2 linked regions of the Drosophila melanogaster genome follow. The protein of the gene in region 1 interacts with the protein of each later gene in a pairwise test. Each region holds a gene or a part of one and is shown on either strand. Other genes may lie near its edges.

Region 1 (7,543 bases):
CCGATCTCCACTCCACTCCTCTCCAACTCTTACTCCACCACTTCCTCTTTTTCGCTCAGGTTGAGCGAGGTGAAAGAGTGAGTGAGTAATGCTGTTAGCAATGTAAACAGTTTACGGCATTCGGCATTTGCTGGGGTTATTCATGAATCGCTGTGTTTTTTATTGTTGCTCTGGGGACGCCACTGGAGCATTGCTTTTTGTTTTTGTTATTGCTTGCTGCTGTCGGTGATTCAAAAGTCGCACCAGCTTTCATGACTAATGCTTTTGAATCGCGAGATCAGGTAGAGAATAAAAGGGTTACAGGTTGCCCTAACTCAGCACTTGACATAATCACAAAAACAAAAAGGAACAGTCGAATTAAATATCTAACAAATAGGCACACGCTCGCGACTGCTTCAACGGTATCGTATCGAATGTCACTCAAGTCGAACTGAAATCGTAGTTACTTTTCGTTGTTTATTATCCGTACTGGTTGAATGTAACGGACAAATTGCGTAGCGCCTGCGTTCTCGTGCCGGATCGTATTGGATCGTCTATAACTGCCGGATCGAGTGCAGTTCGTCGAGTGCGGGCAGCGTAGAGCGAGTCGCGATATTGCCAGTTGACAATCGGCAGCCCCCTCTCACTCTTTACTCTCACTCTCAACTAGTGTCTAAATGACTCTCCGCCGCCGGCCAGTGGCGTAGGGAACTGATTGAGGGAGGGTATACTCCGTTCGTTAGATATTCCGTCTGAACGCACGTCAGTTGCGCTCCATGTTAGTCAGGTTTCCCCTCATTTGGCGCGCCCCTGTTACTGCCCCCACGACTTGGCGCTCTCTTCTGCTCTCTTGCTCGCTCGCACTCCCGCACTCTCGCCCGCCGGCCGGAGACAGCGCAGAAGACAGACAGGGACAGACAGAGAGGCGGAGATCGGCGATCAGCCATCGGCCATCTGGTGACCGACCGAGGGGCGGGTGTGGGTGGAGGCCGCTCAATGGTTGCCGATCGATCAGATGCATATCGCAGATACGCCGCTTCTGCTTCCTCTCTCCACTGAAGCAAATGTGCAATGATAAGGCTTCATGTGTCTGCATTCTAATGTTTACACAATTGGACATTCGACATCGATCGAGGCGATCCAACATGGCTGCACTGGGAAAAACGGTCTGTCGCATGGTAAGGAACTGATGGTTGGAGCTACCGCACATATCGCATTAGGAACTGTGACCTGGTAATAAATGTTTTCGGTGCAGATATCGAACTGAAGACGTAGGGATTTGTGCGCACTCTCATTGTTTGTTGTTTGCTGCGGATTGTGTGAAGAACACGATAGTTTATGGCTATCTAAACATGGGCCCGTGCGTGTGCGTATGCGTATAGGCGTATATGTAAGTACGCCGGAGAAGTTTACATTAGTCTGGATCTCTGGATCCGAATTCGAATCCGAAGCGGGCGTCGATTGGCGTTCGAATCGTATTCACAATCATATCAAGAATGGTTGATGAGTGGGGGGGGGGGGGAGGTCTTAGTTTCCACTTTTATGCCCATCCCGCAGGCATTTCCAAGTACAGTGGTGGGCGCAAGGATAGTGCACTTTTAATTTCTTAAAAAATGATGGGATTATACGTTTAGATTAAGCTCGATAAAGCCTTGTATTGTTTTATGAAAACGCATGTTTTCGCAAGTACGAGGATGAGCCATATGTTTCGTTATCACGTATTGTATTCCATCCAGTTCCTAGGATCTTAAACTTAAAAATTTCTCGTCATTTAAGTGAATGCGATATGGCGCTATAATTATATTAATTTCCTCAAGAACTGAATGTTATTTTCTTGGGTAGTCGGCTGCAATTCCCGGACTATTGGCCTGCATGAAAACAAACAACGTATTCGTATTCGTGCCGTTGCCAAAGAGTTTTCCCTAGAACCGCCTGTTTTTCTTTTCAAAAGGCAAACAATACTCAATTCGACCCAACAGACGACCCGCACTCTGACCCTCGGAAAAGTAGAGAGGTTTCCCCCGGCATATTGGCTTGATTAATTAAGACTACATATGTACGCTGACGTCGTGTGACACCAGGCTTCCGGGGTTTGACTCATTATTCGAAACGGGTTATGAGAGCGTGAAAAACGCATAGTCTCGAGTTATGATTCAGGATTAATCGCCCATGACTGGAGTATTCATTCTACGCACAAATTCGATCTATAGGCATATTTATTCGAATGAGTCCCTCTCGCAAAAGTTTTGCTTTTTTTTTCAGTTCCTCGCTTCGAATGGATGCCGCCCATTTATTATCCAGAAAATTGCCAGAGGAAACTATGCAACCACACACACAAACACACACACACATGCACACGACCCAGGAACCGAAAAGTTTTTCATTTCAAAAATGCCGGAGAGGTGCGTATGGCCCGAAATCAGGGCTACGAATAGACTCGATTCATCTGTAGGAGCTTATTCATTGTATTCCCAATATATTCATGTAACCTCTGGCACACCGAATTTTTTAAGCATCCAAGACGTATCGGTCAAGGTATCAATTAAGGAGGGGAACTTCTTACTTCATTGCAAGTGATAAGTCTTGAATTGTGTTAGCAATGCAGATAACTTTCCCCATGCTGCTCATGACTTATATTCCACCAGACTGATGCAAAGACTAGTCTAATGCAAGTATGTATGTTCTGGCTGTCGGAATGCTCAAGTATGTAGCTAAAACGTCGAACCATTTTGGGCAATGGTATCCCTGGTCTAGTATCTGAAACTTTGAAAAACGGCAACAACAGCAACATGACCCCGTCAGAATATCGACGAAAGAGCGAAAGAGTCGAGTGGATTGGGGCGGAATGGGGCGGGAAGGGCGGTTAAGAAACAACACCGAATAGGAACAATGTAAACAAAGCGCCCATTCCACACGCAAATTACCAAATTACCCGATGATGAAGTCAATTGTTGTATACAATAAAAATGTGTGTTGTTGCTGCTGTTGCTGCTCTGAGATTCTTTTGTTTTCCTTTTTGAAAGTTTTTCTAGTTCGCCTGCTGTTTTTTTTTTTTTTCTCAATATTTTGTACGCTTGGCTGGCGGCGACTGCCTTCGGGCCCACTTTTTGGGTGGGAACCATGTCGGTGTATGGATGCGGAGAATTCAGTTTTAGTACAAATTCGGCGCAGGAACGAGCAACGCGTCTTTTGCCGAACACAAAGTGCCGCGCGATGTTCCCACCAAAATCCGGACCAACTCCGCATCCGATCTCGATAGCGCTGCCTCTTTCGGATCCCTATGCTACTGATCACATGGCGGATCAGGACGCGGTGTTGCCGGTACCCCTTTCCGACAGCCTGGACCTGGACGTGGACGTGGACCTCAATCTGAATATGAATCTTAATCTCAATGTAGACGACAGGCGCCAGGTGCTCTTCGAGGGCTATTCGGACGAGCTGCTGACCATCGCCTGGGTGGCCTGCATAGTGTTCATCATTGTGGGCGTTCCCGGAAATTTACTGACCATAGTGGCCCTGTCGCGAGGTCGTCAAACCCGCAACTCCACGGCCATATTCATAATCAATTTGTCCTGCTCGGATCTACTCTTTGGCTGCTTTAATCTGCCATTGGCCGCGTCCACTTTCAAGGAGCGGGCGTGGACCCATAGTGATCTGCTGTGCAGGTTGTTTCCGATGCTGCGCTACGGCTTGCTGGCGGTGTCCCTGCTCTCCGTGTCGCTGATCACCATCAACCGGTACATCATTATCGCCCATCCCAGGCAGTATCCAAGGTGAGAATGGGCCTGCCCATATCGGCATGTCCTGCCTAAATCTTGAAGGGTATTCAGAGTGCCCAACTCTTCCTCTTGGTGCTTATCTGTTTATTATGATACGCATGGTAACCTACCACTTAATCTGAGAAAAAAACCCACACATATGTTATTGTGTTTCTGAACTTATAAACTTTTGAACTTGTTTATAAAAAGGAAAATGTATGGCTTCTCGTAGATGTTTTTTAATTAACTAAAAAAGAGAACATTACTTGCTAGAGGCAAATGCTATAGAAAAGGTCGGTTCAGCGATCTCAATATTTTCGTAATAAACAATTAAACTGAACGGAAATTAATATCTTATAAAATATGAACTACAATATTTCTGGAGAAATAAATAACTAGCTAGTTTTTATTTTCGTGAGCTACGGATATCTTAAAATAATATATTTGAATACAATGAGCATATATTATTATCAAATTAGACATGGTACAAAATACAATTCCCACTGGTTCAAATCCGTTCTTCCAGAATTTACCAGCGACGATATTTGGCTTTGATGGTAGCCGGCACATGGATCACCACGTTTTCCATAATGATACCCACCTGGCGGGGCGTATGGGGTATCTTTGGCTTGGACGTCAGCATCGGCTCGTGTTCCATCATGCATGATCGGTATGGTAGATCCCCCAAGGAGTTCCTCTTCATCGCCGCCTTCATGGTGCCGTGCATCTGCATCGTGATCTGTTATGCCCGAATCTTCCTGCTGGTGCGAAAGGCGGCCATTCGCGCGGGAACCGCTGGCAAGACCAATGTCAGCGATGTGACTCCCAGCTCCGCGCCGCAGCATCAGATTCAAGCCATGGCCACACCAAAGAAGCCGGAGAAGGTGACCACGTCCAGCGGCGAGGCGAACGAACCGATCGCAGGACGACCCTTTGTGGTGGAGGAAAACTTAGCGTATATCGATGACAATGCTTCGACGGACAGTCTGCCGATCTCGTACAGCATACGGAGGAGGGATCAGGACCAGCAGCCACCGCCTGTTGATGCCAATGTGGTGCTCAAGGAGCGGGAGAAGGAAAGGGATCGGGATCAGGAAAAGGTCAGCCTGGGACGCAGTCAAACGCAACTAGAGATGGGCAAAACCCATGGGTGAGTAGCTGTTGAAGGCTTCTTTGCCATTTCACTCAACCTTAATGCGTAAATCCATTCCAGAAAGAACCCTATCACTACATCCCTGCGCACCACCTCCTTCACACGGTTTAGCCCGCGGAAATCCCACTACGCCTCCATGGGCAATACCTCAAATGCATCCTCTATTTACCCGGGAAGGATGAGTGCCAAGGACCGGAGATTGCTTAAGATGATACTGGTAATCTTCGTGTGGTTTGTAATTTGTTATTTGCCCATCACGGTGGCCAAAATATGGAAAAGCGCCACCGAGGTGCACTGGTTCAACATTGCTGGCTATCTACTTATCTACTTGACCACCTGCATCAACCCGCTGATCTACGTGTTGATGAGCTCCGAATACCGAAGAGCTTACTGGAACTTGCTGCGCTGCCATGGCTCTCCAGATACCCAGAAGCAGCGGAATCAGGCCAATGCAAAGCGAAAGCACCTGGAGTCCAATCGGCAGGTGAAGGCCACGACGTGACTCCGACAGATGCCTTAACACCTTCATCGTCCTCCGTCCTAGCGGGATATGATATATGTGTGCCATATGGTAGTAATACGATGGGAGAAGTACCCAAATGTCATGTTGAATGATCTGCGGTAAGAAAAAATTCCTTGATCCCCTGGTGATTATAGTGCCTCCAAAAAAGATTTCTAGTCACATGATCCGGCCGGTCGTCCCTTCCACGCACACACGAAAACACAGATCACCCATATATATCTATATCTATATCTATATAATGTAGGAACTCCAGAAGTATATTGCATTTTATACCAAATGACTTTAATATCTGGTTTACATTTGAATTCCATGTTTAAGAACAATCGATGTTTGTTTAAATTTTGTTTTTTTTTTCTTTGCTTGTCGCTAATTATTGTACCAATACATAATAGATATATCCTTATATGGATACGCCCTTTCTATGCCCCCAATAAATGCTTCGAATAATTGATATATGTAGTTACGTTGTTCTCGTCCACTGTCGTGGGGGCAATACAATAGTGTATAGTGTAATCATAAGTAGAGCTATAGCTTAACGCTATTATTATCAATATACATATTGTATATGTCTGCGTATATGCGTACGAAACTTGGACTACTTAAGACTAGTAACACAACTAAATCATTCAATATTACTGCTTCGCCCGGTTCGGTAATGATTCTATCGGTTCCAATAAACGTGAATCGATGTAACTCCGATTCCGATTCCGACCCGCATTCATATCTATATAGGCTATTTATATGTATGTATGGGTGTATATCGTATATGGATCAAATAATTCATAATTGCGATTGCGAGCTTAATAAAAAGGTGGCCCCGGTCCCGGTCCAGCCCCCATTATAGTTCGATGTCCAGTCCTACCCCTTTTCCTTTCCCACCGACTTCCACTTACAAATCTACTCCCATTCGAATTGCCCCAACCCCTCCACCGAATAACATCACACACGGCCTCAGACTGACTCAAGGTGCTCCGATATCTCCAGGATGGGGCTCTCGCTGAGCGGCTTTACCAGCGACTGCCAATTGGGCGTGAAAAGGCTGAGCACCGGCGTCGATGTCTGCGGAGGACACAAGGAGAAAACGGATAAGGTTTATATACGAACTTGGGATGCCTGAGAAATCATCTTAATATGCGTTATCTAGCTTACTTACATGATAGTCGGAGTCCAGGCTGTGACCGTGGGGCGTGGTAGGCTTGCACTTGACCGTGGGCGTACCCGGCGCCGTGGACGGTGGAGCTGAGCATGATACCCCAGCAGCTGATCCTCCGGAACCAGCTCCATTAGGCGCCGCACCAGGCACCTGGTCCGATTGGCTGATGTAGGAAGTCTTGAGGTTCATCTGACTGAAGGCATGAGCTCCGGGCATGGTCATGGAGTGCTGAAGCCTAGGAGTTCCGCTCCTGGGCCGATCAAGCAAGGCCAACTCGTACAACTCGTCGGCCAGGTGATGTTCCGGAGCCGGAGCCGGCGGCGGTGGCGGACCCAGGCTGTGGCCAAAGTGGTGATGGTGGTGATGGCTGTGCTGCTGATGGTGGTGATGTCGACCGGCTAGCTGCGCCTCCAGTGCGTACTGCTTCTGGAACAACTGACGCTTCTGCTGAAGCAGGCGGTGCTGCAGTAGCTGCTGCTGCAGCGGTGGCTTTTGCATCGGGGACATGGGCACGGCCATACCCACGCCCAACTGATGGTGCGTGTATAGCCCTGGTGGCGGCGGTGGCGGAGCATAGCATCCATGACCATACATATCCCCACCAGCAGCGGCTTCCAGGAGCAGAGGTGTGGCTTGGTGGCCTGAATGGAACAGCGAATGATGGCCATGGTGATGCTGCGCAGGATGCGCATGATGATGGGGCAAAGTCAGCAGCGGATGATGCTTGCCCGGCAGAGCATAGAATTGACCATTTGGAAATTGACAGAGTTCTTCCAAGCCGTACGCTTGGGGATGAGGATGCGGATGCTGATGCGGATGTTGATGGGCATGTGGGTGTGAATGCCCCACAGCCGCCTCCTGCTGCAGCTGCTGCAGCTGCTGGATCTCCAGCCAACCGTGACGCTTGGCCTGCTCGTAGCGATAACTTCCGTACACACGACTGGTGCCCAGCAAGGAACCAGAGCTAAGCAGGCCCT
Region 2 (5,992 bases), about 15 Mb from region 1:
ATTATCCGGATGATCCCGACTCCATACCTATGATCTCCAAACTGAAGTACGATGAACAGCACGACAAGGCGCTGAGGTATATCTTTGGAAAAACGCTAATCTGCAGAAATTTGGAGCGCGCCACCGAGCTGGCCAAGAGCACTGGGCTGGATTGCGTTACGCTGGACGGAGATCAAGTGTCCTCCAAGGGATCCCTCACTGGCGGCTATTTCAATACATCCCGTTCCCGTCTTGAGATGCAAAAGAAGCGCACGGAATACACCAGCCAGATAGCTGAATTCGAAAAGAAACTCAGCAAGCTGCGAAACGAGCTCAAGTCCACCGAGAACAACATCAACTCAATCGTATCCGAGATGCAGAAGACGGAAACGAAGCAGGGCAAGTCGAAGGATGTATTCGAAAAGGTGCAGGGCGAGATTCGCCTGATGAAGGAGGAGCTGGTGCGCATCGAGCAGTATCGTGCGCCCAAGGAGCGCTCACTGGCCCAATGCAAGGCCTCATTGGAGTCCATGACCAGTACGAAATCTAGTTTGGAGGCGGAGCTGAAGCAGGAGCTGATGTCGACGTTGTCGTCGCAGGATCAGCGTGAGATTGACCAGCTGAACGACGACATTCGTCGACTGAACCAGGAGAATAAGGAAGCGTTTACGCAGCGTATGCAGTTCGAGGTGCGCAAGAACAAGCTAGACAACCTGCTGATCAACAATCTGTTCCGGCGTCGCGACGAACTGATCCAAGCGCTGCAGGAGATTTCCGTGGAGGACCGCAAGCGAAAGCTAAACAATTGCAAAACGGAACTGGTTTCCGCCGAAAAGAGAATCAAGAAGGTCAACTCCGATCTGGAGGAGATCGAAAAGCGGGTAATGGAGGCTGTGCAACTGCAAAAGGAGCTGCAGCAGGAGCTCGAAACGCATGTGCGTAAGGAGAAGGAGGCCGAGGAGAATCTTAACAAGGATTCCAAGCAGCTGGAGAAATGGTCGACCAAGGAGAACATGCTCAACGAAAAAATCGATGAGTGTACGGAAAAGATTGCCAGCTTGGGCGCCGTGCCGCTAGTTGATCCTTCCTACACACGCATGTCCCTGAAGAACATCTTCAAAGAGCTGGAGAAGGCAAACCAGCACCTGAAGAAGTATAACCATGTGAACAAGAAAGCCCTGGATCAGTTCTTGAGCTTCTCCGAGCAGAAGGAGAAGCTCTATCGCCGCAAAGAGGAGCTCGACATCGGTGACCAGAAGATCCACATGCTAATTCAGTCATTGGAGATGCAAAAAGTGGAGGCCATTCAATTTACGTTCCGACAAGTGGCGCAGAACTTCACCAAGGTGTTTAAGAAGCTGGTGCCCATGGGCGCGGGCTTTCTCATCCTGAAGACCAAGGACAACGAAGGCGACGAAATGGAAAAGGAGGTGGAAAACTCCGATGCTTTCACAGGGATCGGCATTCGGGTTTCGTTCACCGGCGTTGAGGCTGAGATGCGTGAGATGAACCAGTTGTCTGGTGGACAGAAGTCGCTTGTCGCCCTGGCCCTCATTTTCTCCATCCAAAAGTGCGATCCAGCTCCCTTCTACCTATTTGATGAGATAGATCAGGTGAGTCGTCACATTACCTATAATTACGCATTACTTTATTTGATTGACTAATGATCTACTAATGTTTTGTGCAGGCGCTGGATGCAATGCATCGAAAGGCGGTGGCGAACATGATCCATGAGCTCAGCGACACTGCCCAGTTCATTACGACAACGTTCCGGCCGGAATTGCTGGAGAACGCGCACAAGTTCTACGGCGTGCGATTCCGAAATAAGGTCAGTCACATTGATTGTGTGACCAGGGAGGAGGCCAAGGACTTCGTCGAGGACGACAGCACCCACGCCTAGGAAATTGCCCCGCCCAAAACCTCATCCCTCAACCCACCACAACCATCTCTCGCCCCAATTATTAGTTTCGTAGGCGTACGATTTGTTTTCACATTCTTTTAAATCGTATACATATATATATATATAGTTTTCTTTCTAACGATACTTGCTACATTTAATTTTCCTTAACAATGAGAGTTAGTTTTCGGCTAGGCCGTGCTCGTTGCGTGGAACACTTCGAGCCGGCGAACAAAACCGAGAGTATAGAAACTCCAAGCCCAGATCAATATGTAATAAAGCGCATAGAGAAGTAATTTAAACTATATTTAAAACGAAAATATGTATTAAAAAGCTTATGCAAAAGGAAACCGTCTAATCCAATATAATTCCACACTTTTATGTATGTATGATAACAATGCAATAATTGTTTCGAAATAAGAAGTCTGGTTTATTACTCAAAAAATTGTTCAACAACGTGCATCTTATAATTAAATGTTGGTGTCTTAGAGCTTGGCAATCAAGGCTCCAGTCCCTGGTTGCCCGACCAGCTACTCTCAGCTGGCCACAGCGTCCAGTTGCTCCTGGATGGCATTCAGCGCAAAGATGGTGCTAAAGCACATGCCCACGGTGGCCACCTCCAATTGGCTGATGTTGTAGTGCAGCGGCAGTCGCCACAGGACAAAGTGATTCAGCAGAACAAGCAGGGCCAGGCCAAGTGACCACCAGTGCTCGTCGACGATGGCGATGCGCCAAAGACAGTGGACATTCCACAGAACACAGAGGCCCAATTGCGCGGCATCCAGTTTTATGAATGTGGCACCCAGTGGACTGCGACTGTTGCCGAACCACAAGCTGGTGACTGCAAGTGCCAGTACAGCGCTCCACAGTCCAAAGGCCAGACGCTCCCAGTCGGCGCCGAAGAAGTCACCCATTCGGGTGGCCGGATTTACGGTCTGCAGCTCGCCCACCACCAGGGTGACAAATAGGACGCAGGAGTAACGTCTCGACTTGTCGCACAGCAGACGCTGCACTGCGCCCGGATTGGGATGCGTGTGCCGCAGCAGGCAGAGCAGGCTGTGGCCAAAGTAGATCCCAAAGGCGGCCATCGCCTTGCTGCCGGTGCTCCGTTTCAGACCCCAGCCGGAGATCACGGCCAGGACGAAGTGGATCAGGCACAGGGCTAGCAGGGAGGTGCCACCACTGGACCCCGGCAAGGGACCATGATTCGGAGGAGGACTTCTGTTGGACACCATTGTTTTGACTTGAGAGCGATCACGCCGGTTGCCGGTGATTCCACCTCAAGGTGGCAAATCTTCCGTCCAGTTTGCGGACGGGCGACTTGATTCCTCGACCAAGTTTGTTGCCGATGTAACGGCGGATAAATGATCTTTAGTTAAACTTTATTAAATATTTGTTGCATCAAAACAATAACAAGATTTACGTCAATATTAAATCAGTATCGTATTTCGACATAAGCGTGGATTTTTTAGGTGGTTTCTTTCATCGATAGCGTAAATTCCTCGATAATATAACGGATTCGGTATAAGTGTGGACACAGCCTTGAAATATGCCTTTTTGAATTTGACTGTTCATCCGGATAAATATGCCTCTTGTAAAAGCATACTTGTAATAGGTCGAGTTCTACATAAGGAGAATACAAAAGTTTACAACAGATAGTTGATCAAACATTTCATTTTTATTTAATCAACTAGCATTCACGTGGACAAAAACGTATACAGATGTTATTTTTATATACTAGTGGATTATATAGTAAAATACTTAAGTTTTTAAGATTGTATAATTTCTAATAAGAAAAAATATTCTTATGGGCTTATTTTGATGTCAATGCAGCAAAATGTATGCTATGGTTTTTGAAAAGGGAAGTAATTTTCAGTTAACAATATAACCGTGCATTTTTTCTTATTATTTACGAACCTAAGAAGTCGTGTTTTATTGCATCGAATTAAATTACAATATTATAAGTTTTTAGGTTTAAATTACTGATTTGTTAAAAATTTCAATCCGATTTGAATAAAACTGCTAGTTGCTTTTTGTTCCATCCCTATTATATTATATCCAACTGAGAGTTTTCATATTTCCATACACCGCGAAACGGTCACACCGCACCGCATTCAGTCCAATCGGAATCGCTCCTCGATAAGCCCAGACAAATCACGCCTCTATCGATTTCTTATAAGAAAGGAAAACGAACGAGCGTGTTATCGAGTGCAACATTTGCGATTTGCCCTGCTGCGCGCGTGCACTTTTTATTAATCTCCCGTATAAATCAGATATCCGTGTGCATTTCGAACGCGCTCCGTCAACACACACACAAAAATTAAGTAAAAAGTTTAACACGAATTGCGAATAGCGAAAAAACAAAAGCTTAAACCGTCGAGTGTGAAAATTTCGAGCTAAAAGCAAAACGAAGTTAAGGTAAATTGCAAGCAGTCACTGTTTTTTTTCTCGTGCTATTTTCTACTTCTCATCCTCCTCCATCATCCTGCCCCCTGAACCCCTCCCCCAACATCCTCGACCGCCCCGCCCCCATACAATTGTGCAACACACGCACGCACACAGACGCAAATGGGAGGCTTGGAGCAGTTTCAAACCACCAACAAACACACGCACACATGCCCAGCCACACGCGCGCATATACATATACCGATATACATATGCATACATACAGCTGTATGTGTACATATTCCAATAAGAACGGGCCAAGACGTGAAATGTTTTTTTTTGTTGTGTGTGCATACATACATTAATTGCATTAAACGGGCAAAAAAAATACAAAATATGAAATAAAAAGGAGGAAAAAAAAGCGCAATGTCAATGTCCGCCCATGCCCGTTTCAATTAATTTTCCTGTCGATTTTTGGGCCCGAAAAAAAAGAAGGAAAAACAACAGCGAAAATACGCGAGTGCAACGGGTAAAATAACATGATACACACAGCACATGTGTGTGTGTGGGTGTACATTATATATGTATACATAGGCAACATTTTTTCTCTTATTAGTCATCTTTGGTGTGTGTGATGAAAAGCGATGAAATTTCAGCTGAAGCTGTACGTACATACATCCCCAACAAACAAATTTTTTTCGTGTGCAAAAAACAGCAAGAACAAGTGAAACAAGAATAATTATAACCGAAAAAGGCTGCCAAAGGCAACTGATGGAATGGAAATATCAGTAAAATTCAACAAGAAAACTTTCGTGTGTGCCTATGTGTGTGTGTGTGTGCAAACAAGAGATTTTCTCGAAGAGAGCCGCACGTAAATTACGGCTCTCCTCGTCCTGCGTCTGTGTGCTAGTGTGTGTGAGTGGCAGGACACCAAAAGCTACGAAATTTTCATGCTGTAGCAGCAGCACATAACGGTTCTTCCTTCGCTTTTCTCAATGTGTGTGTGTGTGTGTATGTGTATGTTTCTGTTCTGTTTTTTCTCCTTTTTTTTTACTGTTTTTTGCCAGCTCTGCTGCTGCGCAGTCTCTGCCGACGTTGAATGCACAGTCAGAAATATATTATAATTAATTAAAGTATTTCAACCATTTTAGCTTCATATTTCGTTAAATGATATATTTGAAATAAATGGTATTAAAAAGTCTCAAATAACTCGTTTGGCCATTATATTTTGTCTCTATCAAATTGGAAAGTTAAGCAGAAAAGTTAATCGCATATTCTATATGCCAAACGATAAGAAACTATTTATCTATGAAACATCAATTTGTTTCATAAAAACTGTGTTTCTTTCTGTGCGTTTCTTTGAAATTTGTTTGTCCAATTTGGCGCTCTCTCTTTTTGTTTCCCAGATCTCTCTCGCTCTCTCTTGCTGCCTCTGTGCCTCTTTCTCTCTGTAGCCTCCTTGCGTATTTTGTTGTCCTTCGACTCCTGAGCTCTTAACTCCAGGGACATGCCACAAGGTTCCACTGTGCGCGTGTTTTCGTTCCGAGAGCTTAGACCCAAGGTCCCTGGCTCATCTCGTCACTTTTGCTCCTTATTCCTTATTCCGTATTCCCCATTCCCCAGGATCCCCTTGCTGCCCCAACATCCCGCGAGCCACCCTCCCCAAAATAAATATAAAGGAAAAGTTCACTGCATTCCTGCCTGCATTCCTCTCGAGCTGCCCGAAATCCC

What was found. The genes of interacting proteins can lie anywhere in the genome.
Region 2: the proteins of CG4313 (region 1) and CG13014 interact in a two-hybrid assay, tested with the Drosophila melanogaster proteins (one large-scale study listed by BioGRID).

What each region holds. Positions count from the first base shown.
Region 1 is NC_004354.4:2,049,554-2,057,096, forward strand, and holds CG4313 (uncharacterized protein), read left to right. Parts: upstream 1-3,130; 5' UTR 3,131-3,192; coding exon 3,193-3,752; intron 3,753-4,263; coding exon 4,264-4,887; intron 4,888-4,950; coding exon 4,951-5,392; 3' UTR 5,393-5,861; downstream 5,862-7,543. Other genes in the region: Sik2 (Salt-inducible kinase 2), read right to left, coding at 6,365-6,472, 6,567-7,543.
Region 2 is NC_004354.4:16,585,227-16,591,218, reverse strand, and holds CG13014 (uncharacterized protein), read right to left. Parts: upstream 3,347-5,992; 5' UTR 3,112-3,346; coding exon 2,413-3,111; 3' UTR 2,289-2,412; downstream 1-2,288. Other genes in the region: SMC3 (structural maintenance of chromosomes 3), read left to right, coding at 1-1,592, 1,667-1,879.